Anolis sagrei: one gene and its partners. The protein of the gene in region 4 purifies or fractionates together with the protein of the main gene of each other region. This does not show direct contact. Links are inferred from orthologs where the notes say so. Each region holds a gene or a part of one and is shown on either strand. Other genes may lie near its edges. The genes, in order: HSPD1, DNAJB1, NEK9 and AMBRA1.

What was found.
Region 1: the proteins of AMBRA1 (region 4) and HSPD1 purify together in Homo sapiens (affinity purification with mass spectrometry, with the first as the bait; 3 studies listed by BioGRID). This does not show direct contact. The link is inferred for Anolis sagrei from reciprocal best matches to the Homo sapiens genes AMBRA1 and HSPD1.
Region 2: the proteins of AMBRA1 (region 4) and DNAJB1 purify together in Homo sapiens (affinity purification with mass spectrometry, with the first as the bait; 3 studies listed by BioGRID). This does not show direct contact. The link is inferred for Anolis sagrei from reciprocal best matches to the Homo sapiens genes AMBRA1 and DNAJB1.
Region 3: the proteins of AMBRA1 (region 4) and NEK9 purify together in Homo sapiens (affinity purification with mass spectrometry; 3 studies listed by BioGRID and IntAct, with this or other methods). This does not show direct contact. The link is inferred for Anolis sagrei from reciprocal best matches to the Homo sapiens genes AMBRA1 and NEK9.

The regions. Positions count from the first base shown.
Region 1 is NC_090021.1:178,708,976-178,716,407, reverse strand, and holds the start of HSPD1 (60 kDa heat shock protein, mitochondrial), read right to left. Parts: upstream 3,122-7,432; 5' UTR 3,006-3,121; intron 1-3,005. UniProt on the Homo sapiens protein: Chaperonin implicated in mitochondrial protein import and macromolecular assembly. Together with Hsp10, facilitates the correct folding of imported proteins.
Region 2 is NC_090022.1:128,013,354-128,020,610, reverse strand, and holds the start of DNAJB1 (dnaJ homolog subfamily B member 1), read right to left. Parts: upstream 3,063-7,257; 5' UTR 2,953-3,062; coding exon 2,742-2,952; intron 466-2,741; coding exon 1-465. UniProt on the Homo sapiens protein: Interacts with HSP70 and can stimulate its ATPase activity. Stimulates the association between HSC70 and HIP. Negatively regulates heat shock-induced HSF1 transcriptional activity during the attenuation and recovery phase period of the heat shock response.
Region 3 is NC_090021.1:305,016,887-305,024,374, forward strand, and holds the start of NEK9 (serine/threonine-protein kinase Nek9), read right to left. Parts: upstream 3,001-7,488; 5' UTR 2,873-3,000; coding exon 2,654-2,872; intron 1-2,653.
Region 4 is NC_090021.1:279,053,421-279,061,381, reverse strand, and holds the start of AMBRA1 (activating molecule in BECN1-regulated autophagy protein 1), read left to right. Parts: upstream 1-4,931; 5' UTR 4,932-5,198; intron 5,199-7,961. UniProt on the Homo sapiens protein: Substrate-recognition component of a DCX (DDB1-CUL4-X-box) E3 ubiquitin-protein ligase complex involved in cell cycle control and autophagy.

The DNA of each region.
Region 1 (7,432 bases), about 100 Mb from region 4:
GTGCTTTCTCTGCCTCACCAAATTACAACTCCTAGGGTTCCATCGCATTGAACCAGGGATGCAAAAATGGGCCCAAACTACATTAATTCCGGAGTGTAGATGGACCCCGTATCTCATTCCAACAGTGTCTATTACAGTTGGTGTCTGAGAGAGCTATGCATTGAGCTTTTTCACCCCCCCCTCCAAAAAAACCCTTTTGCACATTTCCTCCTATGATCTCTTTGCCTTTGGACCGAAGTGGGGGGTGGGGAAAGAGAAGCACAATTTACTGAAACTAATCTTAGGTGACCCAGGATGGTGTAGTGCAGTCGTTCTCAACTTGGGGTCCCCAGATGTTTTTGGCCTTCAACTCCCAGAAATCCCGACAGCTGGTAAACTGGCTGGGATTTCTGGGAGTTGTAGGCCAAAAACATCTGGGGACCCCAGGTTGAGAACCACTGGTGTAGTGGTTATGTATTGAACCAAGATTTTGAGGGACAGGGGTTGAAATCTTGGCTCACAAAAATCCACTTGGTGGCTTGGTCACACTCTCTCAGCCTCAGAGGAAGACCAAGGCCATTCATTGCTGAACAAATCTTGCTGAATCCACCAAATATGGAGCTTATGGTTCACACACGGGCAAACTTTGGCCTTGCAGGTGTTTTGGACTTAATCTCCTACCAGCTGTTTGGAATTGTGGGATATGAAGTCCAAGGCGCCTGGAGGGCTGAAGTTTGCCCATGCCTTTTATACGATTTTTGGTATGCACTGCAAGGATGGAGATAGTCAAAGAATGAAAACAATTAGAGAATGTTTCTAAACAGAATAGAGAGTTTGTCTGAGTATGAATTGGTAACAACTCCAAAAAGGTACACAACTTTATGGAAGTACTGAATACCATCAACTTCTTTCACCCCACCCCGCCTTTCATCTCAAAACTGGTTGAGTCTGTATCAAAGTCAGAGGAAAGCAAGAGCATGGACTCTGGTAGATGGGTTAACTTGGGTAGAAGATAAAATGAAGCAATGAAGAAGAAAGGGAGTACAACTTGATGCAAAGGGGGCGGTGTGGGTGGGCAGAAGAGGGGAAAGTCCAAGGAGCAAGCCAAGCATATCTTGGGGCCCCACGTGCGCTTTCCTCGCCATCCGGTCGCGCCGCACAAGGTCAAATGGAAAGAGGAAGAGAAAGGCCTTGTGCGCCCCCTGGAGGCCGGAGAGCGGCGCTGCAAGCACCTTTGCAGACTCCTCCTCTTACATAGCCAGAGGCACCCAAATTTGAAAAGTAACACACAGATCAAGGCTCATAAAGGCTCATCGGAGGCCCCCTTCTACCCTGATCATTTAATGATAACCTCCCAAGACAAGAAACCCCCGCAAAAGGCGTGCAAAGAGAAAGTCCTTCATGACCTCCAGGGCTTCCTATGTGTAATCAACCTGTCTCAGAAACATTGAGGAGGAAGAGACCACATGCATGTAATCACTAACAGATGGCCACCTGACCTCTGTTTAAAAGCCCCCAAGGAAGGAGCTTGCACCACACTTCGAGGCTGAGAGTTCCACTGCTGAACAGCTCTTACAGTCAGGAAGTTCTTCCTAATGTTCAGATGGAATCTCCTTTCCTGTCATTTAAAGCCATTGTTCCTAGTCGCCCAGCCTCTGTTTAATAATAACAACAACAATAATAATAAACCTTTATTTATACCCCGCTAACATCTCCCGAAGGACTCGGTGCGGCTTACAAGAGGCCGAGGCCAAATGCAACAGTAAAACAATAGCATAACAACTACAACAATAACACCACGACACAGTTAAAATCTAAGGCCGGGCCAAATGTAATTATTAAAATATTTAAAAATGCTGGACATAATCAAGTGAAATGGTTTTTGGAGATAGATGCAGTATGCAATTAATCTTAAATCTCTAGTAATGTGCATTTGAGACATGATGCTTGGAGTTTCCTATTCTGGGAAGGCACACTGGAACAACCACATCTTCAAGCTCTTCCTAAAGACTGCCAACGTTAGAAAACTGCATTAATTAAATAAGCAATCACTGCATCTTACTGCTGGAGAAAATAACAGGTGGGGCTTGGGGGGGGACCAGCCCAATTCTAAACCAAGTCAATTCTGGGATGTGTAGTTTTGTGAGAGATTCCGCCTCCTGTCTCACACTCTGGCAAATGAAACACGTGCCTCTTCAATACTTTTAGTTCCCTTCTACACTGCTACATAATGCAGATTATAAAAGAAAATAGTCCACATTTATCTGCTTTGGATTAAAGGAGTCTGCACTGCCATATAATGCAGTGCAGAGCAGATCATCTGGATTTAATATGGCAGTGTTGGGTCCTTTCCACACAGCTGTATACAATCCACAGTGTGGAAAGGGCCTTAGAAGCCACGCTGCAGAATCATAACTTCTTTAAACTGCCCCCTGTGGGATGTCTCATTCCTGTGGGATGTTTCATTTTGTGAGATATTTAGCCTTTTCTTTCCAATTATAAACCCTATAATCTATAAATTCTATAACCATGTAGTGAGAACACTTAAAATGGTATTGAGAGGCCATTATGATATTATTACATCATCCTGGGGATGGGAGTAGTCGCAGGCCCCTTCCACACAGCTGAATAAAATCCCACATTATCTGCTTTGAACTGGAATATGGTTCAATGTGTGGATTGAGATAACCCAGTTCAAAGTGTGGATTGAAATAACCCAGTTCAAACCAGATATCGTGGGATTTTCTGCCTTGATATTCTGGTTTATATAGCCCGCAGTCCAACCCTTTATTCCGTTGGCTATACTCTAAAACTCCTAAGCAAATAAAACCAACACTCATTTTCATAATACACCTAAAAGGAAACTCAGAGATTCCCCCCCCCCCCCGCAAAGGTACCAATTCCCTAGTCCCACGCTTTCCCTCGCTCTCAGCCGGACCGTACCACTTTCCTCAGAAGGGGTGACGGCTGAAAAGAACTCCGAGACTTTCCCCTTATTTTGCACCCCCTACTATGTGAGGACTTACTTGCAAGAGCAGCGGGACGATCAAGGGAAGGCAGAGAAGCTGCTGCTGAGCCACGCGCGCACGCAGCTCGCAACCCCAGCGCGCGACTCTCACGTCTCGCGACTGCACCCTCCGGCCCCGCCCCCTTCTCCCCTCTCCCTCCGGCCGCATGGGAGAGGCCCCGGAACCAGCCTAACCGCACACCCTCCCGCCGTGACGTCACCCAGGCGCAACTTTCCTGCGAGTGAGTCTGTGGGCGGGGCCAGCCGAGGCTTGCCTCGCGCGCTGTGTGGTTTATTCAGATTCCGGGGCCGCCGGGTTCGAGAATTTTCTGGTAGGCCCATGCTCCGCCAAAGGTCGCGGGAAGCATTTCGCAACTTCCGGAGGCCATCCCTGCCTTTCCCCTTTGCCCCCTGAGAGAAAAGTATTAAAACTAGGAGGATTGCGAGTGAGCAAAGCAACCCGGCCAAGGATCTGTGTGAAATTGACTAATTATACATCCAAAGGGTGTTTTCTTTCTCGCCCCCCCCCCCGGTTCCCTCTTTCATAGCCACAGGAAGCAATAGTTCCCCATCCCGGACGGGGTGTGGCGAGCGCATGCGCAGTGTGCCACGCTTTCCTTTTTTTCACGTGCGTTCCTTCTCTGCGGATTGGACGGAGCGCGCGAGCCGTCGCGAGGAGGAAAGAGCAGAAGGGCGCGCGCCATGGTAAGGCAAAGGGAGGAAGGGGGAAAAATATGTGGTCCTTCTCTATGGGCCCTTCCACACAGCCCAGGATATCAATGCAGAAAATCCCACAATATCTGCTTTGAACTGGGTTCAGATAATGTGGGATTTTCTGCCTTGATATTCTGGGATGTAGGACTGTGTGGAAGGGCCCTCTGGGGTTGGACTGGATGGCCTTTGTGGATCTCCTACTACCCCCTCTATGAGTTACACGTGGGGATACTGGAGGAGTAGGTTCTCTTTATCACAGCCACTATGGCCTTCAAAAGAGCCCCCGTTTTCAGAAATTGTGTTTTTTCCTTTTTTCCTGCGAATGGAAGAAGGTTCAAGGACACAACATGGAGAAAACCGCATGATAGGATTGTCGTGGGTTTGCCATAAATCAGAAACTACTTGAAGGCAAAGAAAGGTATGGACCTTGGGAAACTATAATTCCCAGGACCACATAGTAAGGAGCTATGATATTTAAAGTGGGGTCCAAGAGCATTCATTCCATAGTGTAAGTGCACCAAAAGAAGGATATGGTCTTTGGGAAACCATAACTTCCAGGACTGCACAGCATGGAGACATAGCATAATAATCATCACCCAGACATATCATGGAAGGAAGGGAAGGAAAGGACCTATGGCCTTCAAAAGAGCCCCCGTTTTCAGAAATTGTGTTTTTTTCCTTTTCCCCCTGCGGATAGAAGAAGGTTCAAGGACACCGCATGGAGAAAACCGCATGATAGGATTGTCTTGGGTTTGCCATAAATCAAAAACTACTTAAAGGCACACAACCACAAGACGATTCAATCAAAGAAGCTATAGTGCTGAGTTTTCAGGATCTAAGCAGGGCAATTATAGTTTTGGGTGGTCTCTCATTTATGTGAATCCATGGGCCCTTCCACGCGGCCCTCTATCCCAGAATATCAAGGCAGAAAATCCCACAGTATCTGCTTTGAACTGGGTTATCTGAGTTCACATTCAGATAATGTGGGATTTTCTGCCTTCATATTCTGGGATAGAGGGCTATGTGGAAGGGCCCATGGATTCACATAAATGAGAGACCACCCAAAAGGGCCCTCTGGGGTTGGACTAGATGGCCTTTGTGGCGTCTCCTACCCCCTTTATGAGTTACACGTGGGGATACTAAAGGAGGGGGTTCTCTTATCACAGCCACTACAGCCTCCAAAAGAAATTGTGCTATTTCCGTGGTTTTCCTGCGAATAGAAGAAGGTTCAAGGACGCAGCATGGAGATGTAAAAACTCCAAGCTAACCCAACAAGGATCTTTCCTGTCAGGATATGTCTGATGGTGAGGGCATACTTTTGCAGATGTGTTGTCGAAGGCTTTAATGGTCGGAATTGCTGGGTTGCTGTGAGTTTTACAGGCTGCATGGCCATTTTCCAGAAGCATGCCCTCCTGTCATTTCGCCCACATCTATGGCAGAGGATGAAGGGTCTGTTGGAAACTAGGCAAGTGGGGTTTATATATCTGTGGAATAATGTCCAGGGTGGGAGAAATAACTCTTGTCTGCTTGAGGTACGTGTGAATGTTGCAATTGGCCACCTTGATTAGCATTGAATGGCCTTGCATTTAAGTGTGGGTGAAAGGTCAGGAGCAACTGCTTCTGGAACATGGCCATGCAGCCCGGAAAACTCACACCAACTGACCCTTCCAGATATTTTATTCAATCCTAGGGTCCTTCCACATAGTCCTCTATCCTAGAATATCAAGGCAGGAAATCCCACATTATTTGACTGTGGACTCAGATAACCCAGTTCAAAACCAATATTGTGGGATTTTCTGCCATGTTATTCTGGGATATAGGGCTATGTGGAAGGGCCCCTAGAGTTTGGAAGAGACCCCAAAGCTCATCCACTCCAACCTCATTCTGCCAGACAGGAACACACAATCAAAGGCCCCTTCTGCACTGCCATATAATCCAGATGAGCAAAGAAGCTAACTCATATTATATGCTTTGAACTGGATAACATGAGGGCCTTCCACACAGCCATATAAACCAGAATATCAGGGCAGAAAATCCCACAATACCTGCATTGAACTGGGTTATCTGAGTCCACACTGCCATATATCCCAGTTCAAAGGAGATAACGTGGGATTGTATTCACCTGTGTGGAAGGACCCAGAGTCTACAGTGCCATATAATCCAGTTCAAAGCAGATAATCTTCATTTTATATTGCAGTGTAGACAGAAGTCTAGGCATCCCTGACAGATGGTCATTCAGCCACAGCAGCTGAAAAATTACCTCAGGTACATAGGTATATAAAATAGGTATACAAATACAACATTTACTGCTAACAAATTTGCACTTGCAGGGCTTGCTAAACAGGCTGAATTTCCTTTTTATGAAGCCTTTTTTGCAATTGGCTGAAAGCACTACACCTGGTTACTAATAGATTTGCATTCAGACCCAAAGCAGATAATCCTACATTATCTGCTTTGACCTGGGATATATGGCAGTGTGGATTCAGACAATCCCATTCAAAGCAGATATTGTGGGATTTTCTGACTTGATATTCTGGTTTATATGGCTGTGTGGAAGGCCCCTCAGAAGACTTTTACTTTTGCCCATGTTTTGGCTTTTTACTTTTTTGTGACACCCAGCATTGAGCTAATGGGACCCCATTTGGGGTTAGGATCCACAGTTTAAGAAATCTTGGCCTTGGGGTGTGATTTTATATGCTTTTATGTTTTTAACCTCGATTGTTTTAATATGAATGATGTTAAAAACCATTTTAATATTTGTATATTTTAAGTTGTGTTGAAATGTTTTTTGCTGTGTGCCACTTTGAGTCTCCATAAACAAAATAAATGATAAATAAATAAATACGTGGTCACCAATATTTCCATTACAGTGTTTGAAGTATTTCTGAGCAGCCTTGTAATTGCATGCCCTCTGATTGTTTCTTTTACTCAATACACTTGACAAAATCCTTTAATTTTGCAATCTGTTTTCTCAAGTGGGAACCTACACATGAGGAAACACATTGTTATGGAAGGCAGGGGTTCATGGTTAGAGACAAACTTAACTAAGGTTTGAAAATGCCTAAGATCACATGATGGTCAGAACACGTGGATTAATGTTCTGCAGCCGTTCAGTGTGCAGGATCTACTTTTTGCCCCAGTGGTGGTAAAGAAGCATGTAGTGCACATATCTAAATGGATTTGGTGCTTGATGAGAGATTGGTGGCAACTACGGTAGTGTTTTAAAAAAGAGCATTTTCAGTTTTCCAAGTGTAAGGAGTTTGTTGTGTGCCCTCAAGCCCTTTCCAACTTAAAGGTGGCCCAAGGTAAGTTTATGACAGGGGTTTCTGGGGCTCAAGGTCACCCAGTGGGTTTCCATTACTAGAAGGAAAATAATCTTGGTCCCCAAAGCTGAAGTCCCAACATTCAAATCACTACCTCACGCTGGCTCATAAGGAGTTTACTTGTCTGCATTTTTTGGATACAGTCTTGATTCCAGAGAAGTTTAGCTGACTTTGTCAATAGTAATTGCCGTTTAAACTGCTTATTTACTTAAGAGTGAGAATTCTTAGTAGGGGAACGAGTTTTGAAACTTTTAAATAAAATATGGTTATCTGAGTCCACACTGCCCTATAATCCAGTCCAATGTGGATTTTATCAAGCTGTGTGGAAGGGGCCAACACCACAAAGTTCCATATCTGCCCTATGGACTGGTAGCTAGATATTAGGGAGATATGTTTGTGTAGGATTTAT
Region 2 (7,257 bases), on a different chromosome or scaffold from region 4:
TGTTGCTTGCTGTTTGGTCTCCTTCTTTGGGGAATGTAATCTTAGTTCCTTCTTTCCAGCCACGTTTGACATCAATTGTTAGAATCTTATCTTCATTGCGTGTCGTTTTTCCATCTGGATTTAGCCGTTTGTGAGAAATTTTCATTTTCTTGGTGCATCCACTGTAAATTTCCTCCAAGGATACTCTCAGCTCGTGAGTGATGGGTGGATCTGGTTTCCTGCGAACATTTTCATGGCCCCCACGAGCACGGGAAAAGCCAATGTTGCCAAAGTTTTGAAAACCCGTGAAGGGGTCATCAATGTCCATATCTTCGTCACCATTCCTCTGAACAAAGAACGTATCAAAAGGATTCCGCCCACCAAAGAATTCTGCAAACATGGCATGAGGATCTCCATGAAAGGTGTAGGTGAATGAAGTGCCATTGGGACCACCTCCACTGCAGCTGGGACCACCTCCCTTTAGTCCTGCAATATAGGAAACACAATAAGCCTCAGCTTTCAGGTTACATTATCATTCAATATCAAAAAAGCCTAAGTATTATTTTTACTCATTTTACAGACATGTCAAACAACTGCATAAGGGTAATTAGAAATACTTCGAACAAATCTCACACCCAACAGCTAACTTCAGTACATTTGTGTGTTGTGTACCCTAGTGTCCAAATCATATAAAAAAACTACAATTCTCAGTTATTCACAAGATCTACTAAATCCATGCTCCTGGATACAAAGCTCAATTCAGAATGCATTTCACCTAATCTGTATACTTTAATAAGTATAAATCTTGCAGAAAAACAGTTCTACTAAGGAAAAGGTAGCACTGCAACAGATAAGCACAAGAACATGCTAGAATATTCTAGCAACGACTAGAAGACTTGTGTAACAAAAGCTCCACCTATCTCAGACAGCCTGTCATGCAGCCCAATAGATGCAGCCAAATTACTACAACACCCATTTAAAGGAAAATGCTCAGAATGTTCCATGAATGCCAGCTGTGCAATCGAAACAATACAGAAAAGCTATGGAAATTTACCACAATCTGTATAAATAAGTTGAGAGCTTCTCTTTTACGCACTAAACATTTCAACATTCTACGGAAGGGGTGGATGTTCTTCAGAACAAGAAAGTAAACATACAAAGCAAAAACAAATCCCTGAAGACACAAAGAGACTGATATGCAAAGCAGGACACTACAGAAATCCTACACAAGAGGGCTATAATTATTGCTAAATCTGGGTGATTTCAAAGTAGCCTTCCCTATCAGGAAGAGCCTGTAGATCAGTTGTTCTCAACCTTTGGTCTTCCAGATGTTTTCAACTAGAGCTCCCACTAAACCTAACAGCTGGTAAACTGGCTAGGAGTTCTGGGAGTTGAAGTCCAAAACTCCTGGGGGATGAAAATCTGAAACCCACTGCTTTAGATAATAGTGGATGTTGGAGGTTATAACTGGAACTATTTAAAGATGGCAACTCAACATTGGACTGCTTTCCAGAACCACAAAGTGAAATAACTCGTTCTTCAGCCCTTCTCGTCCACTTTCTACTTCAGGCATGGGCAAACTTCAGCCCTCCAGGATGTTTTAGACTTCAACTCGCCCAATTCCTAACAGTCTGCTTTTTCTACTTCATCCTTCATGAAAAAGCTTGGTTTGCTGTGAGTTTTCAGCATCGTCTTAACAGTTGCTCCAGAGGAAAAGGCGTCCAACTAGCTCTGGAAATTGGGGGTGATCATCAAGTAGACAGAAGGAGGCATCTCAAAATCGAGAAGGTCTTGCCTGGGCAGCGAGATCAGGGCAGAACAACTCAAACTGGCAACGTTTGTCAAAGGAACTTCAGCAAGAGGGGACACGGATTGCCTCCAATACCTGTGTGTGAATATTCTGCTTTCTACTCATCATTCCTCACTTTTAGCCAGTGTTAGTAAGATAAAGATTTCCCTTGACATTAAGTCTAGCCATGTCCAACTCTGGGGGGGTGGGGGGGGGGTGGGGTGGTGCTCATCTCCATTTCTAAACCAAATAGCCTGCGTTGTCCATAGATGCCTCCAAGGTTATGTGGCCGGCATGACTGCATGGAGTGCCATTACCTTCCTGCAGAAGTGGTACCTATTGATCTACCCACATCTTGCATGTTTTCAAATAGCTCGGTTGGCAGAAGCTGGGGTTAACAGCGGGGGCTCACCCCTCTCCCTGGATTCAAACCGCCAACCTTTCGGTGAGCAAGTTAGCAGCTCAGCAGTTTAATCTGCTGCAGCACCAGGGGGGCCTTTAGCCAGTTATTAGTTTTGATTAAAACCTTACAGGAAGTAATACCCAGAGATGTGCTGAAAAGAGACCCTTCCCCTCTCTCTCTCCTCTGCTCTTGGTGCCACAACGCAAACTCCCTGTGTACTTTCTCGTGAATGGCAGGGGAATCAACAACCTGAGCCAGCCATAGATGTGGATGAAACGTCAGGGACATGGCTATACAGCCCGGAAAACTCACAGCAAACCAAGCTGAAGCTGGTTTTCTAGGCTACACTCCAGGCTACATCTACACTGTGGAATGAATGCGGCTGGAGCCCACTTTAACGATATGGATCCCTGGCAGCTGCTGACAAGGCCCCTGGCTGCCAAAGAGCGCTGGTCCCTCAACAAACTACGCTTTCTGAAGAATCGAGCCGTGGCGAATAATGTGACGCCAAGGCGCATGCGCAGGTCCCTCCTGCCCCCCCCCCCCGGCCACCCCGCGGCCCCCGCGCACCTTCCTCGCCGAACTTGTCGAAGATTTCGCGCTTCTTGGGGTCGCTGAGCACGTCGTAGGCCTCGGCGATCTCCTTGAAGCGCTCCTCGGAGCCGGGGTCCTTGTTCTTGTCCGGGTGGTAGCGCAGCGCCTGCTTCCGGTAGGCCTTCTTAATGTCGTCGTCGCTGGCCCCGCGGGACAGGCCCAGGGTGCGGTAGTAGTCCTTGCCCATGGCTCGCCCTCACCGCCTCGGGTTCTAATGCCGGGCCGGGCGCGTCCCCTCCGGTTTTATACTGCGGGCGGAGGAATCTTCCAGAGCTTGCCACAACAATCTCCGCCTCGGCCCCGCCCATCCCTTCTGCCCTAGCCAATCGCCATCGAGCACTCTGTTCTCTCCGCCAATGGGGATCGACTGCGGGATGGGCAAAGCTTGGAAGTTAACGGCTGAGGGCGCCCACCTTGGGACTGAACGGCGGGGGGAGGGGGGGCATTCTTCGTTGGGCCGCCAACGGTCCTCGCGCTCGGGGTTCTTGAGATGCGCGCGCAGACAGTGGACGGGCCAGGAGTGGCGCGTGCCAAAAGAAACGTGTGGCCTTTGGGAATGAGAGCCGCCTCTTCCGTTAGAAACAGCTCTGGGTGCATCTGCATTGTGGAATGAATGCGGTTTGGCACCATGGTTTAGTGCTGTGGAATCATGGGACTTGTAGTTTGGAGAGTCACCAGCGCTCTCAAAGAAGAAAGAAGGCGTTGTAAAGCTATAATTCCTTTGACGGAATCATTGCAGTTAAAGTGGTGTCAAATCGCATCTATTCTACAGTGTAGATCAGTGGTTCTCAACCTGTGGGTCCCTAGATGTTTTGGCCCCCAACTCCCAGAAATCCTAACAGCTGGTAAACTGGCTGGGATTTCTGGGAGTTGTAGGCCAAAACACCTGGGGACCCACAGGTTGAGAACCACTGGTGTAGATGCATCTACCTGAACATGAGAAAAAATTGTTCAGCAGTAGAACTCTGTCCTGAGTGTGGTGGAGGCTCCTGTGGAGGCTTTTAAACAGAGGCTGGATGGCCACCTGTTGAGGGTGCTTTGGTTGTGCTCTTCCTGCATGGCAGGGGTTGGACTAGATGGCCCATGTGGTCTCTTCCAGCTCTGTGTTGTTTAAGACTTTCATGACATGGAATCACTGGGTTGCTGTGAGTTTTCTGGGCTGTAAGGCCATGTTCCAGAAGCATTATCTCCTGACGTTTCACCCACATCTATGGCATGCATCCTCAGAGGTTGAGGGGTCTGTTGGAAACTAGACAAGTGAGCTTTTTAGGTGATAGTATGATAGCTGGGCCCGGAAGCTCAGCATTACGGAGATGCTGCAAAGGCAGTTGTGAATAAGGGAAGAGGAGGCGGAGAGAGAGCGGGGAGAGCGAAGGAAGGATAGAAAGGACGGCATGCTTAGGGTTAGGGCAAGGTTTTGGGTTAGGGTTACTGTTGGGGGTTATGGTTAGAGTACAGTTTAGGGTAAGGTTTGGGTAGGGGTTAGGCTTAGGCTTACGCATACGGATCAGGGTTAGGGTAAGGGTTAGAGTTTCACCATTAAAGAACTCTTACATTCCTTCTAGAGTATCTGTCTCAGGCCTGGCTTACATTAGCTAAGTCTCTCTTGTGCAAACAGCGCTCCCAAAGGAGCGATGCGGCATCTCCGTAACACTCAGAGTTTCCAGACCCAGCTATCATACTATTACCGGTTTTTATATCTGTGGGATAATGTCCATGGTGGGAGAAAGAACTTTTGTCTGCTTGAGGCAAGTGTGAATGTTGCAACTGGCCACCTTGATTAGCATTGAATGGCCTTGCAATTCTGTTCTTCAATGATTCTATGCATTGTTTTTTAACAGAGGAGGGGGTTCTTATCCCCAAGACCACCTGTTGCTCTGACAGGTGCCACCTCCATTTTTTAATTGCTACCTGCCCCATGTTTATTTGGAAATATATCTAACATTTCTTCTTACGTACCTTTTCTTCACAATTAAGAAGTACCAAATTTTGTAACCATTTGGATTGCTCATGTTTGGATCATCTACTTGATGACTGTGGCCCAGTCTGTGTAGATGTGTTTTGAGTGTGTATATATTTGTTTATATGCGTACATATGTATGTTTGTGTATATATATGTGTGTGGTTTTGCACATGCGGTGTAATACATTTCTTGTTTTTTGGCATTTTAAGTCAAAAACTCTCACCCCCTGGGTGCTGTTTTTCAGTGTTTTATGAGTGATGGTCACTTGTTGGCCTGATACGTGTATTGTATCCAAATTTGGTGTCCATTTGTCCAGTGCTTTTTGAGTTATGTTAATCCCACAAATAAACATTACATTTCTATTTATATAGACTAACTGTCCCGCGTTGCTGTGGCCCAGTCTCTGTATATGTGCTTTGTGTGTGTATATGTGCATGTATGTGTGTATATATTTATGTATATGTGTATATACTTGTGGATGTTTTTTTTATTTGTTGGCTTTTTAAGTCCCTTCCACTGTGTTTTTATGAGTGAAAGTCACTTGTTGGCCTGATAGGTGTATTGTGTCCAAATTTGGTGTCAATTTGTCCACTGGTTTTTGAGTTATGTTAATCCCACAAACAAAAATTACATTTTTATTTATATAGACTAGAAGTCCCCTGCCACGCATTGCTGTGGCTCAGTTTGTGTATATGTGTTTTATGTGTGTGTATGTGTGTGTATATGTGGTTTTGCGCATGCGCTTTAATTTTTTTTGGCTTTTTAAGTCTTTTCTGCTGTGTTTCTCAGTGTTTTTTATGAGTGATGGTCACTCTTGTATTGTGTCCAAATTTGGTGTCCATTTGTCCAGTGGCTTTTGAGTTATGTCAATCCCACAAACGAACATTTTAATTTATATATAGATTGTACCATACTGTATTATATATTGAGGTTCCATGACCAAAAATGTGCACATTATTCCAAAATGCCACACCAAAAATGGTGTAAAGGAAGTATGGTTCTCTTCCCAATTATGCCCAGACCCAACATAGGTTTCACCGTGTTAGCAAACTCGGTCACTGTACTTGTAGACGACATTGAATTAATGATTCAGGACGGTGAAATCCCAGGAGGACAACAAAGAGCACCCAGTGCTTCCGTAATGGGACTTTACGCAGGAATTTCCACTCTTTGTTCACCTCCTTGGCACTGCTTCTCTATGGTGTTTAATTTGACCCCTGGGTGGGGCTGGTATGGTGGAGGGAGGTTGCCTTCCAGTTTGCAGTCCAGCCCTTGGCTCTTCTCCCAGGCAGCAGATAAAAAGTGGCAAAAGTCACTTCAATGCTGGCTTGTTTACAGCTTCTAGGTGTTAAGAAACACTCATTCCTGATTGATACCATTGTTCAAGGTGTCCACAATCTGAGGTCCCGTCTGTACTGATCATTTAATGATTTCCTATGTAATCATCTGCACAGTGAAAACACTTTCTTCAATACCAGTTTGAGACGGCATAAGATGAGATCTAAGAGAGATCCTTCCCAGAAGTCAAGGGAGAAAGATCAAATCATTACCACAGAGGACTCACTGAAATCTAAACAGATAGCATCAAACAATAATTGCAATGTTTTCCCCTGTTTCCGTCTTTCTTCCAACGCCCGAATATCTAACTAGCACAGTATTTATAAATGGAGTCCTCCCATTGCCTTTTGAAAGGGAAGTAGTTTTGAGATGTGTGCAGTCTGTAGCAGATTGATAAGCCTTAACCCACGTTTCTATACAGCTAGCCCTCCGTATCCATAGATTCTTTACTATGGATTCAATCACCCACGAATTAAAAATATTTAAAAAGAATCCTCCCAACAAACTTTGATTATACAATTTTATATAACTACACTATATATAGCTGTGTTGTACATCAGCTGCCAGAGGCTGGTGGGTTAACCGATGATTTAGAACTTTTAAACAGAGGCTGGATGGCCATCTGTCAGGGGTGATTTAAATGCAATATTCCTGCTTCTTGGCAGGGGGTTAGACTGGATGGCCCATGAGGTTTCTTCCATCTCTGTGATTCTGTGCAGGGCCTCAAGGACATTCAGGGGAATAAAAAGGTGCGACATTAGATAACGAATCGAGTGAAGAGCTGAGTGATAAAGAGGCTTTCCAGGGGAATCCACCTGTAGCTACGGAGATCAACAAAAGTCTTTGTTTACAAAGAACAGCTGAAAATAGATTGCGTCGTTCAGAGAGATTACGTGGGAAAGTTGTGAAGGAAATTCACGGGAAACAGAATGATTTCATGGGTGTCTATTAAACAAGTTGTTTACCTTAAGGTCATTCCAGGCAATGGTGCATTAGAGTGAGAAACTAAATCTGAGTTCTCTTGTTCCTGGTTCAAGTCAAGCGTTGATTTTGAATTTGATATAGCCTGAAGTTTTCTATGTTCCTGTTCAAGTTTTACTATTTATACCTTCTTGATTGTGGACTTATGCTGTATCTGTGATTCCTGGTTGTTCCTGGACTTTATCACCTCTGGAACTTTATGAGACATTT
Region 3 (7,488 bases), about 26 Mb from region 4:
TTTTTTGTACTCCATAATAGTCCAGAAACGTAGGCATTTAGAAGACAGAAAATAATTGTCGGGAGACAGGGAGTTGGAAAAATGTTATCTGGACCATCCACAGCAAGTAGAAAGCTAGCTGAAATATCTGTCCTTTTCCAGTTCCTTATTTCAAAATATGGGATAAATGTTGCCCTATCTGACAAAAGGGTAAACTTGGCAGCCAGGACAAAAGGCAGACAGATTAGAAAGGATTCTGTATATGGAAACACAGTTGGATGACAATTTATCGTATATACTCATATAAGCTGACCTCGTGTATGTGTTCACGGTAGGTCTTGGGTGAAAAAAATATGGGTTTTGATACAACCCATTGATAAGATGAGGGCCATTCTACACATGACAGCCAGGTTTACATTTTCAAAAGGATTCCAGCTTGAGGAGAAAGCAAGCTTGTTTTCTAGTGCTCCAAAGATAAGGGCACAACGGGGCAATGGATTCAAATTACAGAAGAGAAGATTCCACCAAAACATTAAGGAGAACTTCCTGTCAGTAAGAGCTGTTTGGCAGTGATACATGCTACCTCCTTGGGAGTGTGGTGGAGTCTCCTCCTCTGGAGGTTTTTAAGCAGAAGCTGGATGGTCATCTGTTGGGAGTGCTTTGATTCTATGATCCTGTGTGACAGAAGGAGGTTGGACTGGTTGATCCTTGTAGCATCTCCCAACTCTATGATTCTACAGATTCTGTAAAGACTTATTCTAAACCATAAGACACAACTCTGGTCACAAATCTGTGAGCAACAAATCTTGTCACACAAATTAAAACTGAACTATCTATTCAGTATCTCTGCAGAGAGGGGAAAGCATCAATGCTACCCCAGGGCGAGCTGCCCTTGGCCTCCGCCACCATTCTCATCAGGAGAGGTGAGTAATAAAGAAAAATTATTATTATTATTATTATTATTAATATTAATATATAATTGTTGTTATTATTTCCACAGCCAGGGCCTCAAAAAGGCCAGAAGTGGTGCCATAGCAGAGAGAGTAGAGGAGATCATTGCTTCTTTTAGGTTCTACAGGGGTAGACTCAGGCTCCTTCTACACTGCCATATAAAATACATATGATCTGCTTTGAACTGGATTATATGGCAGTGTAAACTCATATAATCCAGTTCAAATCAGATAATATGGATTATCTGCTTTGAGATTCTGGATTACACAGCAGTGTAGAAGGGGCCTAAGTGCTTTCCTTTTGCCACTCTACTCAGAAAAGGGGATGGTTTCTTTTTTGATGAGGAATTAAGGTAAATAATAATAATAATAATTTTATTTCTTACCCGCCTCTCCTCCTGGCTCAAGGTGGGTTACAAAACGAAATATATAAACACAGCAAAAACACTACAAATACATACAATAAAATGTACCTCCATAAACACCACACACCAAAAGGCACCTCTAAAAAATACACATCAAAACAGACAAAACAGAGATCAAACAAAGAACATGCATTAAAAGGTTACACTGCACTTACCCTATAATCCTTACATATCACCTGTCACATCAGCACTTTTAATCCTGTACCCGTTACTCTGGCCCGGCCCAGTTTTATAGTGTCTTGATGTATTGTCTATTGCTTGTTGTTTAATATTGCTTTAATTGTTTTTAATTTGCTTTAGTTGTTGTATTGTTGTGTTTTGAGGCCTTGGCCTTTGTAAGCCGCATCGAGTCCTTCGGGAGATGCTAGCGGGGTACAAATAAAGTTAATAATAATAATAATAATAATTCTGTATCTTTGCATTTCATTTTTTTCTGCCTAAATGGAGTATCTTGCATTTGTCCCTGTTGAACTTCAGTTTGTTAGTTTTGGCCAATCATCTCTCTATTACTATTATTATTATTATTATTATTATAACTTTATTTGTACCCCGCTAGCATCTCCCGAAGGATTTGATGCGGCTTACACAGGCCGAAGCCACAAAACACAATACAACAATACAATACCTAAAGCAAATTAAAACAGTAAAGCAGAAAACAATAACAATAACAATACAACAAGACACTATTAAAACTGGGCCGGCCAGGATAGGGGTACAGGGTTAAAAGTGCTGAAGTGCCGGAAGGAATGTAGGATTATAAAGTAAGTGCAGCGTGCAGTGATCTTGGTTGGTAAGATTGTTTTGAATTCTGCTCACATCATGATTCCCATTTGTGTTTATGTTATTTCAATATGAGTTCCATTCTGTCCACTTTCTTTGATGTGACATGACATCACACTTTGTGTGTCAATTTCCCTTGCGCTACTTTTACATGACAACAAACCTGGGGCACACCTATGCTGTGGCACAGGTAGGGGCAAGCTTGGGCCCTCCAAGTGTTTTGGACTCCAACTCCCACCATTCCTAACAGCCTCAGGCCCTTTCCTTTCCCCCCCTCAGCCGCTTAAGCGGCTGAGGGGGGAAAGGAAGGGGCCTGAGGCTGTTAGGAATGGTGGGAGTTGGAGTCCAAAACACCTGGAGGGCCCAAGCTTGCCCATACCTGCTGTACCATTAAGGAACCCTTTGACTACCATGGAATCCTGGGAGTTGTAGTCTGGTGAGGCCCCAGCGCTCTTTGGCAGGCAAGGCCTTGAAAAACTACATCTCCCACGAGCCATGGCATTCCTTGGCAGTGTTTACCTCCGTCCGGCGGTAGAGCGTGGCCTCCCCGAAGGCGCCGCGGCCCAGGGTGCGGATGGGGGCGTAGTGCAGCTCCTCTTGCTCGCCAGCCAAGGCCGGGGCAGGCCGGGGGGCGCTGTTAATACTGTTAATGCTGCTGCTGCTGCGGCCGGAGGAGTCGTTATCGAAGTCGAGGGAGTTGATGGAGTCGCAGTGCCGCTCGTACTGGCCCAGGGACATGGCTGCAGCAGCGGCGGCGGCGGCGGCGGGGGAAGAAGCCAGGGCTGCTTCCTGCTCCCGCGGCGGCTCCTTCCCTCAGACTCCTTCGACGAGGCAGAACGGGCCTGGCCCCCTGCGCATGCGCATATACGCACGAGCCCCCTTCCTTCCTTCCTTCCCCTCTCGCGGCCTCTCCTCCCCCTCCTCCTCCTCTCCGCGACCCCCCCCCCTCCCCGCGCGTGCCTCCCGCTGACCCGGAAGCACTCCAGCATCGGGTGCCTTTCCTTCGGCGGAGGAAGTGGAGGAACGGAGCCGTTTCTTGTAAGACTTTGGGCCAGGCCTGGGCAAATTTGGGCCCTCTCTCCAGGGGGTTTGGACTTCAGTTCTTACCATTCCTAACAGCCCCAGGCCCCTTCCATGCTGGCCTTCAAAACATTACATTTATGTACCAGGCCTGGGCAAACTTGGGCCCTCCCTCCAGTTCCCACCATTCCTAACAACCTCAGGCCCTTTCCATACTGACTCTCAAGAAGCTACCCAGGCCAGGGCAAACTTGGGCCCTCCCTCCAGGGGTTTGGACTTCGGCTCCCACCATTCCTAACACTCCCAGGCCCTTTCCATATTGGCCTTCAAGAAACTACATTTATATACCAGGCCTGGGCAAATTTGGGCCCTCCCTCCAGGGGTTTTGGACTTCAGCTCCCACCATTCCTCACAGCCTCAGGCCCTTTCCATACTGGCCCTCAAGAAACTACATTTATATACCAGGCCTGGGCAAATTTGGGCCCTCCCTCCGGGGGTTTGGACTCCCACTATTCCTAACACTCCCAGGCCCTTTCCATACTGGCTCGCAAGAAACTACATTTATATACTAGGCCTGGGCAAACTTGGGCCCTCCCTCCAGGGGTTTGAACTTCAGCTCCCACCATTCCTGACAGCCTCAGGTCTTTTCCATACTGGCCCTCAAGAAACTACATTTATATACCAGACCTGGGCAAACTTGGGCCCTCCCTCCAGGTGTTTTGGACTTCAGCTCCCACCATTCCTAACAGCCTCATGTTGTTGTTGCCCTTCCACACAGCCATATCGCCCAGAATATCAAGGCAGAAAATCCCTTTGAACTGGGTTTTCTGAGTCCATGCTGTCATATATCCCAGTTCAAAGCAGATAGTGTGGATTTTATTCAGCTGTGTGGAAGAGGTCTCAGCAGGCCACTATTATCCTACTTTTGAAAAAAGGAAATGGAAGATGAGGGGTAGTGATCTTCCTGCAATTTGTTTTAGTATCCCCGCATGGCTTACTTGCCTTAGGGAGGGCAGTTTTTTTCTCTTTCTGTAGCTTCTATTCCCCAGCAATTCTCTCCCTGCCGAAGGGAAATTACTTGGCTCACTAGATAGCAGCACTTTGAAACATTCTATCTAGTTTCATGAGAAGTTTTTTCTTCAAAAGCAAGAAAAGTTTTCTCTTTAAAAAATAAAATAAGGGATCCTCAATCTCCAGGTTTGGAGGAGAGGTAGTTCTCCATCCCTTCATTGCTCTCCCTATGACACCCCCATTTCTTTATTCCTTCTACATCAACTTCTTGAGTATGCACCTACAAGATGGGATAGAGAATGGTGACAAGATATGTTAAGGAAACACAGCATTATAAGACAATCAATAGCTGCTGTTATGATAATACACAAGAGAAAGGGGAGACATACTTCCAGATGCTGGAATAAATATTCACTAAAAAAAACCCAACATGCTTTGACACATTAATATTCCAAGGCCGTTTTCAAGTGATGTGGGAGGAATAGGACAATGCTTAATTAAATAATATTATAAATTGTTTTTGTTGTGTACCTTTAAGTCAACCCAAAGTTACAGCGACCCTGTGATATGATGTTCTTGTCAAGATTTATTCAGGAGTTTTGTCATTTTCCTCAAAAGCTGATTATGACTTATGAAAGGCTGGGTAAAGATCTAAACCCTGATCTCCCCAAGTCTTGTCCAGCAGCCGAACCAGCAATACAACAGGTCAGTGTTATTATATTTACATGTTATTGCATTAACACATTACTAATACCTTGTACATACCTAGTAAAATCCCTTGAAATTTCTGATAAAGGGACTCCCAATACCATTTGGTAATCAAATGAAAACATGTGAATTAAAATTATAAATAAAGAATTCAGAGCATCTTCCGTCTTCCCTTTATCTTTTGGATTTTGTGTGATGTTCTTCCGTTTTTGCTGCTCCACTTAAAGCTTATTATGCTCTCCAGTTTTTGTTTTATCATCTTAAAATGTATGTATCTGCCGATACAAACGAGAACTTATTGAAACTAGTTTAAAAATCTGTATTTATGTAATATTTCTATTGGACCAATCGAAAGAGCACACAAATGTGCTCAGGCTTCCCAGAAACTTTATTAGAAGAAACTACTAAAGAAATCTGGGTTGGGGAAGGGGAAACCTCACTGCTTCAATCAGCAGCTGCTGCAGAGAGATTGGAGCATTGCAAATAAGACATTTGCAATGCAAGCGTGCTTCTTTTAAAGATTAGAAATATTCCATCCCCATAGACAAAAACAGTATACACCGTTGTTAGGTGTTTTCACATCATTTCTGATTTATGGTGAGTCAAAAATGAACTGATTATGGGGTTTTCTTGGCAAGATTTATTTGGGGGAATACCTTTGCCTTCCTCTAATGCTGAGAGAGTGTGACTTGTCCAAGGTAATCCAGTGGAATTCCATAACTGAGGAGGAGAGTCATTGTTTCACTTTCAAATCACTACACCTGGCTGCACCAGCTACACCAACCTTTAGTTGTATATTTCCTCCAGGACAATAATCAGTGTACACAGAAACCTGGGTGGATCTCTATCTTTTTATAATACTCAGTTATAACACAGTAAATGCACAAAGTAGAGGTGTGAAATTGGTGGTTCTCCACATCTTGCTGAACTGCAATTCTCAGTATTCCTCAGCACTGACTTTGCTGGTTAAGGTTGTTGGGAACAGTAGTCCATCAAAATCTGGATTGCTGCACAATTTCCACTCCTGAAAGAAATGCATGGCACAAAGCTTTAGACATTAAACTTCAGGGAAGATTTTATAAGGTGAAGTTGTACAAAAGAATTAATGCAGATTAGCACCACTTTAACTGGATCAATGTTATGGAATTCAGAGAGTTGTAGCTTGGGGATGCATTCGCACCCTTGGCACAGAAGTCAAGAAATATAAAATTACAACTCCTGGGATTCCATAGCGTGGAAAGATGCCAGTCAAAGTGAAGTCAAACTAATTCATTAATTTATCCATAATGTCATATTCCAGGAAGACTGGGGGGACTAGTGTATGTGAAAAAAGGGTTGAGTTCAGTGTGTGAGAGAAAGTGAAGACAATTATTTTTCGTGTCAGGAGCGATCTGAGAAACTGCAAGTCATTTCTGGTGTGAGAGGATTGGCTATCTGCAAGGACATTGCCCAGTGGACACTCGGATGTTTTACCATTCTGTGGGAGGAGTCTCTCATATCTCTGTATGAGAAGCTGGAGATGACAGATGGAAGCTCACCCATTTCACACCTCTACTTTACATGGATCTAGAAACAAGTTGTATAGCAATACCAGCACATTGTATGATAGAAGTTTGGCTCAGAGTCAGCATTGCCATTTCCTAGCATTGTGAATATTTTCTTCTGGCACAGCTCCTGTTCTTTTCAGCAGCTGCGTGACAGGAAGGAATCCAGCAGCATAACCATTTCCCAAGCAAGGAGTGATGCAACAATGAGAAAGCAATCTTGTGCTGACTTTAAAAAACATTAAGCAGGTATTGAGAGTGTAACATTTCTGACAATTATTATCTTGCGTAATCCTATTAATTTTCTGTCTCACCTATTTTATTTTTCATTTATTTGTATTGTTTCTAAGCCACCCTTCTATTTCTCCCTTGTGTGATAAGTCTGGCTGAGAGATACAGACTAGTCAAAAGCCAGTGATCTTCTTGACTGCATGACAATTTAAACTTGATACTTTTGAACCTAATCCAATACTTCTATTACTACAGTACAGTCTGGAAATAATGTTGTCTTTATGTGAGACTGTCACACATTGCATGATGTGTATTTAAGCATTCATTTATGTGGCATCACATAAATAGGATGTCTGTAGGTGGAGATTATTACATTTAGATGAGGCACTTTGGAAGTTTCTCATTGAAATAAAACACAACACCTTTATTAAACAAGCCATTGATAGTTATATTAACAATAAATAACAATAGATACATTATTCTAAGCTCCTTTCATTGCCCTTTTAAAATTATAATCTTGCAGTATTAATGGACCATTCTAAACTGTCTCAAAGCAAAGGAAACCAATGCATTGTCAAAGTCTTTCATGGCCAGAATCATTGGGTTGCCCTGCATTTTGCATTTTTCGGCCATGTTCCATAGCATTCTCTCCTGATATATCGCCTGCTTCTATGGCAAACATCTTCAGAGGTTTGTTCAGAGGTCTGTGGGAATGCATATTAACCAATGCATAAATAAATAAATAAAAAATAAAAGGGACTTACAAAATGCTGACTTAACATGTTCCTATTGATTTGATCTAAACAGAAATTATGAGGTGGTGCTGTTCATTATCCATCT
Region 4 (7,961 bases):
GACATCACAAAGGGTCACTTCACCTAACAGCAGCCTCTGTGGTACAGACAGACAGATAGGTATATGTTGAAACACACAAACATATATTTCTGGAAGATAAATACATGCAATTACAAAAATAAACCTGTACTACAGGATTAAAACATCATTTGAGATTGCTGGCTGACTGTTAACAAAAACAAATTAAGGATTAAATTATAATCCAACCCTATGGTGTCTCAGAAATAAAACACTGTTTGTAATCAGGCTTCTTTGAAGTTTCTTTTTTGGAAGGAAAGTGGCCTCAACTTTTTCAAAGTAAGGTGAGTTTTCCAGGGTTTTTAAAAGCCTATAACTCCACAGCAGCATTTGCCAGCATGGTGAAAAATTAGGGCAAATGCAGTTCAAAAAACACTGGTAAGGACATGGTGCCCATCCCTCTTCTGAAGTACCATGAGGTTGTTCTTCTGTATTTTGTTGTTATGTAACTTCTAAAATGACCACATTTTTTCCCAAGTGTCTTGGTCTGTGTGATATATCGGCGAATAATGTGTGCAGATCCTTTGCAGTGGACAGATGGTAATTTTGTCAGCGCTGATTGTGTTTAAGTGCAGACCAAGGTCTTTAGTCACTGCACCCAGTGTTCCGATCACCACTGGGACCTTTACTGGCTTGTGCGAGTCTTTGTTTATTATTATTATTATTATTATTATTATTATTATTATTATTTGAAACACAACAAGATTAGTACATAGTAAACAAGATCACTATGCTGGCTGTTGTACTGGATCACATGTCGGACACATCCCAAGTGTCTAGGTCTGCGATATATCGGCGAATAATGTGTGCAGATCTGAGTAGGATGGCCTTTTGCAGCTGATAGATGGTAATTTTGTCAGCACTGATTATGTTTAAGTGCAGGCCAAGGTCTTTAGGCAATGCACCCAGTGTGCCGATCAATTAGATCAATTCCCAAGTATCTAGGATTACGTGACGGGCACAATTCAAAGTGCTGGCTTTAGCCTATAAAGCCCTAAATGGTTCTGGTCCAGCTTATCTATCCAAACGCATCTCATCCTACGAACCCACCAGGAACTTGAGATCGTCAGAGGAGGCCCTGCTCTTGTTCCCGCCTGCTTCGCAAGCACGTTTGGTGGGGACGAGAGACAGGGCCTTCTCTGTGGTGGCCCCTCAGCTGTGGAACTCCCTGCCTAGGGATATTAGATCAGCCCCCTCCCTCCCGACCTTTCGAAAAAGAGTGAAAACTTGGCTCTTCGAGCAAGCATTTGGAACCTCAGGATAAACAGACAAACTTGAATCGGAAAATGACTCAGGAACGGTTAAGACGATGGAACGGATGAGGATTTGAATATGAGGACATAGTTTTTAAAATGTTTATTATTCATTGTTTTTATGTCTCTAAATGTACTGTAATGTTTCTTTTTTGCTTTTTATCAATGTATGTATTTTATATATGGCATTGAATTATAGCGACTTTGTATGCCGCTCTGAGTCGCCTTCAGGCTGATATGGGCGGGATAGAAATAGTGTAAATAAATGAATAAAATAAATGTACTGGCAAATAATAATAATAATTGCTATTACCAAACACAAATATTATATAGGTCAGGCAAAGGCAAACTTTGGCCCTCCAGAAGTTTTGGATTTCAACTTTCACAATTCCAAACAGCCCACCAAATTATGCGAGTCCAAAACACCTGGAAAGCCAGTTTGCCCATGCCCGGTCTAGATGTTAGGAAGGATTGTATTGGTTCATGCAGATATACATGTATAGATATTTGTTTCACAGTCCCCCCCCCCCCCAATATTTTTATTAGATAGACTAGCCGTCCCCTGTCACGCATTGCTGTGGCCCTCATGGGGGTTCTGTGTGGGAGGTTTGGCCCATTTCTATCATTGGTGGGGTTCAGAATGCTCTGTGATTGTAGGTGAACTATAAATCCCAGCAAGTACAACTCCCAAATATCAAGATTCTATTTTCCCCAAACTCCACCAGTGTTCACATTTAAGCATATTGAGTATTCGTGTAGAATTTGGTCCAGATCCATCATTGTTTGAGCCCACAGTGATCTGTGGGTGTAGGTGAACTACAACTCCAAAACCAAAGGACACTGCCCTCCAAACCATTCCAGTATTTTCTGTTGGTCATGGGAGAACTGTGTGCCAAGTTTGGTTCAATTCAATTATTGGTAGGGTTCAGAATGCTCTTCGATTGTAGGTGAACGATAAATCCCAGCAACTACAACTCCAAAAAGACAAAATCAAATTTTGAGTGAAGGACATACATTGGGTTGTTAGGAGTATTGTGTCCAAATTTGGTGTCAATTGGCCCACTGGTTTTTGAGTTCTCTTAAGTCCACAAACGAACCTTACATTTTTATTTATATAGACTAGCTGTCCCTGCTACGCGTTGCTGTGACCCAGTCTGGTGATCTGGAAAATAAAGTAATGAGAAAGTGTCAGGAAGGCTCTGATTATGTTTTCTTGCCCCGGTGAAGGGATTGGACTGGATGGGCTTAAGTATTTTCTGTTGGTCATGGGGGTTCTGTGTGGGAAGTTTGCCCCAATTCTGTCGTTTGTGGGGATCAGAATGCTCTTTGATTGTAGGTGAACTATAAATCCCACTAAATACAACTCCCAAATGCCAGTGTCTACATCCCCCAAACTCCCCCAAACTGTGTTCATATTTGGGCATATGGAATATTTGTGACAAGTTTAGTCCAGATCCATCACTGTTTGAGTCCACAGTGCTCTCTGGATGTAGGTGAACTACAACTCCCAAACTCAAGGTCAATGCCCACCAAACCCTTCAAGTGTTTTCTGTTGGTCATGGGAGTCCTGTGTGCCACGTTTGGTTCAATTCCATCATTGGTGGAGTTCAGAATACTCTTTGATTGTAGGTGAACAATAAATCCCAGCAACTACAACTCCCAAATGACAAAATCATTTTTTTTAGTAAAGGACATACATTGGGTTGTTAGGTGTCTTGTGTCCAAATTTGGTGTCAATTCGTCCAGTGGTTTTTGAGTTCTGTTACTCCCACAAACGAACATTACATTTTTATTTATATAGACTAGCTGTACCCACTACGCGTTGCTGTGGCCAACCTTCCCTCTTTCCTTGCTTCCTTCACTCCCTCTTTCCTTCCTTCCCGTCTTTCCTTCTCTTCTTCCTTCTCTATTATCTCTTTCCATCCTTTCTCCTTTTTCTTTGTCTTCTGCTGTCTTTTCTTCCTTCTCTCTTTCCTTCCCGCCCTCTTACTCTACATCTTCCCCCCTTCCTTCGCTCCCTTTCTTTCCTTCTTTCCCTTTTTTCTTTCTTTCTCTAACTTTCCTTCCTTTCCCCTTTTTCTTTCCTTCCATCTTTCTCTCCTTCCATCCTTCTCTTTTTGCTTCCATGCTTCCTTCTCCCTTTCCTTCTTTCTTTCTCTCCCTCTTTCTTTTTTTCTCCCCTTCCCTCCCTCTTTCTTCCTTTTTTCTGTATTGTCATTTAGTATTTGGGGCTTTTTAAGTCCCTTCTGCTGTGTTTTTCAGTGTTTTTATGAGTCAAGGACTGTGCTGTCGCATGCTGGGCCTGTACATCAGACTGTAGACAGGACATAAATTCTGTGTGCCCAACAGGACGCCAGGGCTGCCTCAGATTAAAGGCCTTTGGATTTCCTTAAAACAGAGTCTTTAGATTGCTTAAAGTTTCAACAATGTTCTTTATTAAGGAAAACAAACAGATACTTTAAGGCTTTCTTAATGGTCTATCGGCTCTTTCAATCTTGTCCACAGGGAACAGGCACTATCTTCTTAACTGTAACTAATGGGGAAATCCTTAACTTCTAATCTGGGCAGTCTGTCTTTGCCTCTGTTGGCGTGGAGCCCCTGCACCCGGTACCAACTGCGTCTTGCTTCCGCGAGTGACCCTTACCAAGCAGAGCTTGGTAGACTTCCAGGGGGAAAAAAGGAGTTCAGGTTTCAATGATGGCTGGCTGATGTCCTTGAGCAAAGGAGCTGTAAGGCTGTACAACCCTGGTCAGGCTGTAGGCTGTATATCTCCCCGGCCAAGCCATAGAAGAGAAGACGAAGCTTTCTACAGGAGCTCTTGGTTTTATGTCCTGTGCGAAAGGCTTCTCTGTGTGGACTGAACTCAAAAAGGCTCCTATTCCCTCCAAAAACCCAAAGGGGGCGGGGCCAGGGAACCTAACTATAATGATTGCAGCCAAAAGAAGCCACCTATCTGCAGAGTCCCTGAAACTTAGGACTATAACAAACATTAAATGCAAAGTAAGGAAAATTGGAGCTCCTGGGACAGCTGTTCCAGAACAAGGACATACAATGGGTTTTTAGGTGTCTTGTGTCCAAATTTGGTGTCAATTCGTCCAATGGTTTTTGAGTTCTGTCAATCCCACAAACTAACATTACATTTTTATTTATATAGAATTTTTTACATTGAAAGTGGGAGAACATATTCATTTTAGATAGGAAAGTAGGAATGTAAAGAAACTGAGTGCGAGAGGAAAGAGAAGAACCCATAAGGGAATGGACAGAAATGAAAAAAATTAGAATAAAAAATAAAATAAAATTGTTGACTTCTATCTAAATTAGAAGGAAGTTTCATAGTTTTTGATGAATATATACATAAATAAATAAAAATAAAATTGTTGCCTTCCATCTAGACTAGAAGTTTCATAGTTTTTGATGAATATATACATTGAAAATAAAAAACATATTGATCTCCAAAACTAATTATCGAATCCCCCCCCCCCCTTTCCTTAAAAAATAATTTTTCCCCACGTTGGGAACCAGAAGTGAAGATGCCCCTTCAGATGCCAGCCTCCTCCTCCTTCTCCTCCTCCTATGACGAGGACTCTGGGCTCGCTTAGTTACGCCTTGCTCCTGTTTTATGCCTCGGCCGTTCGATTGCCTCGGCGTTCGCTGGCGATCCATTCGCTCGGCGCTCGGCTAGGCGCCCTGGCCTTGGTAGTAAGCGGCGAGAGGGAGCGAGAGAGAGAGAGGCTGCAGTGGGGAGAAGAGGAAGGCGGAGGAGGAAGAAGAAGAGAAAAAGAAGAAGCTTGCCGGCGGATTTGAGGCGTACTCTTCCCGGTCCGGACGAGGCCTTTCGAGTACTTCGGCCTCGGAGACCCCCGCACGACGCCTCCGGCCTTCCCGGCAGCCGGGCGCGCTAGGCCTCACCACCACTCCCTAGTTCAGGTAGGCTTCGGGCCTAGAAAGGCCGGGCCTGGTTCCTCTGAGGGGGCTCTTGAGGCGGAAACGGCGGCTCTTCAGGGTGGAGGGGCCCCCAGGGAGGTCTTGTGGCCTGGCCTTGAGGGCCGTCGGGGCCTTGAAGCCTCGGGGCGGCCTCCTGGAGGGGAGGCCGAGATCCCCGGGTGGGCGGGTCCCCGCCCACCCGGGGATCTCGGCCTCCCCTCCAGGAGGCCGCCCCGAGGCTTCAAGGCCCCGACGGCCCTCTCAGGAAACCCTTCAGTGCCTCAATCCAGGCCCTGAAGCCTGTCTCCCTGAGACACCCCTCAGGACGAGAATCCGAGGCCCACCCACTCGCCTTCCTCTTTCCCCCGTGAAAGAGGAACTTCCTCCTTTGTAAGTTTTTGCTTCATTGATAGTACTTACTAACCTTGTTGTTCTCTTTCAGAGCGCGGAAGCACAACTCTTTTCCTTCCCCCCGCCTTTTCCGACTCCTCCCATGTTCCCCCTTTTTCTTCTTCCTCAAAAAGATCCAGAGAAATTGAGCTTTGTTTTGGACACAGTACCTTAAACTAAGACCCAGGGCCCTTCCACACAGCCCTACATCCCAGAATACCAAGGCAGAAAATCCCCTAATATCTGCTTTATTCATTATTTTATTTATTATTTAAAACTTTTATATCCCGATCTTCTCAACCTCCATAGAGGGACTTAGACTGGCTTACTGCAAGGATTCAGTGGTAATAGTACAATCTAAAAACATCATATAATAACGAGTTAAAATACATGTCGATTAAAATTACAAATAAGCCAAATCACCAGGGTAAAATCATGTCCAACTCAGTCTGTATGTGTGGTCAATAACTTTGTTCTGTAGCCGGTTTCAACCATTACTCTGGGAATGCTTCCTTCCATAGCCAGGATTTCACCAGCCTCCTGAAGGACAGGAGGGAGGGGGCAGATCTGATCTCAATCGGAAGAGAGTTCCATAGCTGAGGGGCCACCACAGAAAAGCCCTGTCTCTTGTTCCCACCAGATGTAATTGTGAAAGTGGCAGGACCGAGAGCAGGGTCGCTATCTTGTCTCTCATTCCTGCCAGACGCGACTGTGAAAGTGGCAGGACTGAGAGCAGGGCCCCACCAGAAGATCTTAATTGTTTGTTGGTTCATAGGGGAGAATACATTCGGACAGGTAAACCAGACTGGAACCGTTTAGGTTTGAACTAGGTTATCTGAATCCACACATAGATAATATGGAATATTCTGCCTTGATGTTCTAGGGCAGGGGTCCTCAGATTTTTTTAAACAGAGGGCCAGGTCACAGTCCCTCAAACTGTTGGAGGGCCAGATTATAATTTGAAAACAAAAACAAAACATGATTGAATTCCTATGCACACTGCACATATCTTATTTGTAGTGCAAAAAACCCACTTAAAACAATACAATAATTAAAATGAAGAACAATTTTAACAAGTATAATCTTATTAGTATTTCAATGGGAAGTGTGGGCCTGCTTTTGGCTGATGAGATAGGATTTTTGTTGGGCTATTGTAGTTTTTTTCGGGCTATATGGCCATGTCCTAGAGGCATTCTCTCCTGACGTTTTGCCTGCATCTATGGCAAGCATCCTCAGAGGTAGTGAGGTCTGTTGGAACTAGCAAAAAGGGTTTATATATCTGTGGAATATTAAATATTAAAATAGAATTAAACATGGGTTGTTGTAGGTTTTTTCGGGCTATATGGCCCTTTGTCCCACCCTGGTCATTCCACAGATATATAAACCCTTTTTACTAGTTCCAACAGACCTCACTACCTCTGAGGATGCTTGACATAGATGCAGGCGAAACGTCAGGAGAGAATGCCTCTAGGACATGGCCATATAGCCTGAAAAAACCTACAACAGTCCAGTGATTCCGGCCATGAAAGCCTTCGACAATAGGATTGTTGTTGTTGCTGTTGTTGTGTGCTTTCAAGTCATTTCAGACTTAGGTTGCCCCTGAGTGAGAGCCAGGTAAATTATCTTAGAGGGCTGTATCAGGCCCTCGGGCCATAGTTTGGGGACCCCTGTTCTAGGATATAGGGCTGTGTGGAAGGGCCTCACAGAATACAAGCAGACCCCAGGTTATGAACAAGATAGGGTCTGGTAGGTTTATTCTTAAGTCGAATTTGTATGTAAGTTGGAACAGGTACATTTCAGCCAAAAAATCTATTTCTTAGCTTTGGCTAGCATAGGGAAGGGTCAGCACCCTTGTGGTGTTTGTTTCGCTGTCTGTGCCCCTGTTCAGAAGATTTTGCCTCACTTTCTGCCCCTGTGATTATTTCTTTATTTTATATTTTATTTATATCCCACTTTATCTCTTTAGACAGAGACTCGAAGAAGCCTTTTGGATATTGAAAAATGTATTTTTAAATTATTAAAAATTAATTGTATTTTGAGAAATGTTACTTGTGGAAACAGGAACTGGTGATACAGCAGTGGTTCCCAAACTTATTTTTGACCAGGAACCACATTGACCAAGGTCCGCTCTCCAACATTAGTATCAAAAGAGTTACAAATCAGTTTTTTGTCGACTTTAGATTTAAATTGCTTATTTGGGGTGCTGATTCAGAAAACTGCATTGGATAGAACACAACAGCTCTAGTTTCTGATACAGAACGCATGCAACCCAGTAGTCAGCATCTGCTCACCCACAGAAAACCATATTTAATAAGCCTCGGCACTATAAGAGGTTTTTACAAGACCAGGCACTCTCGTTGCAACAGTGTGGTAACA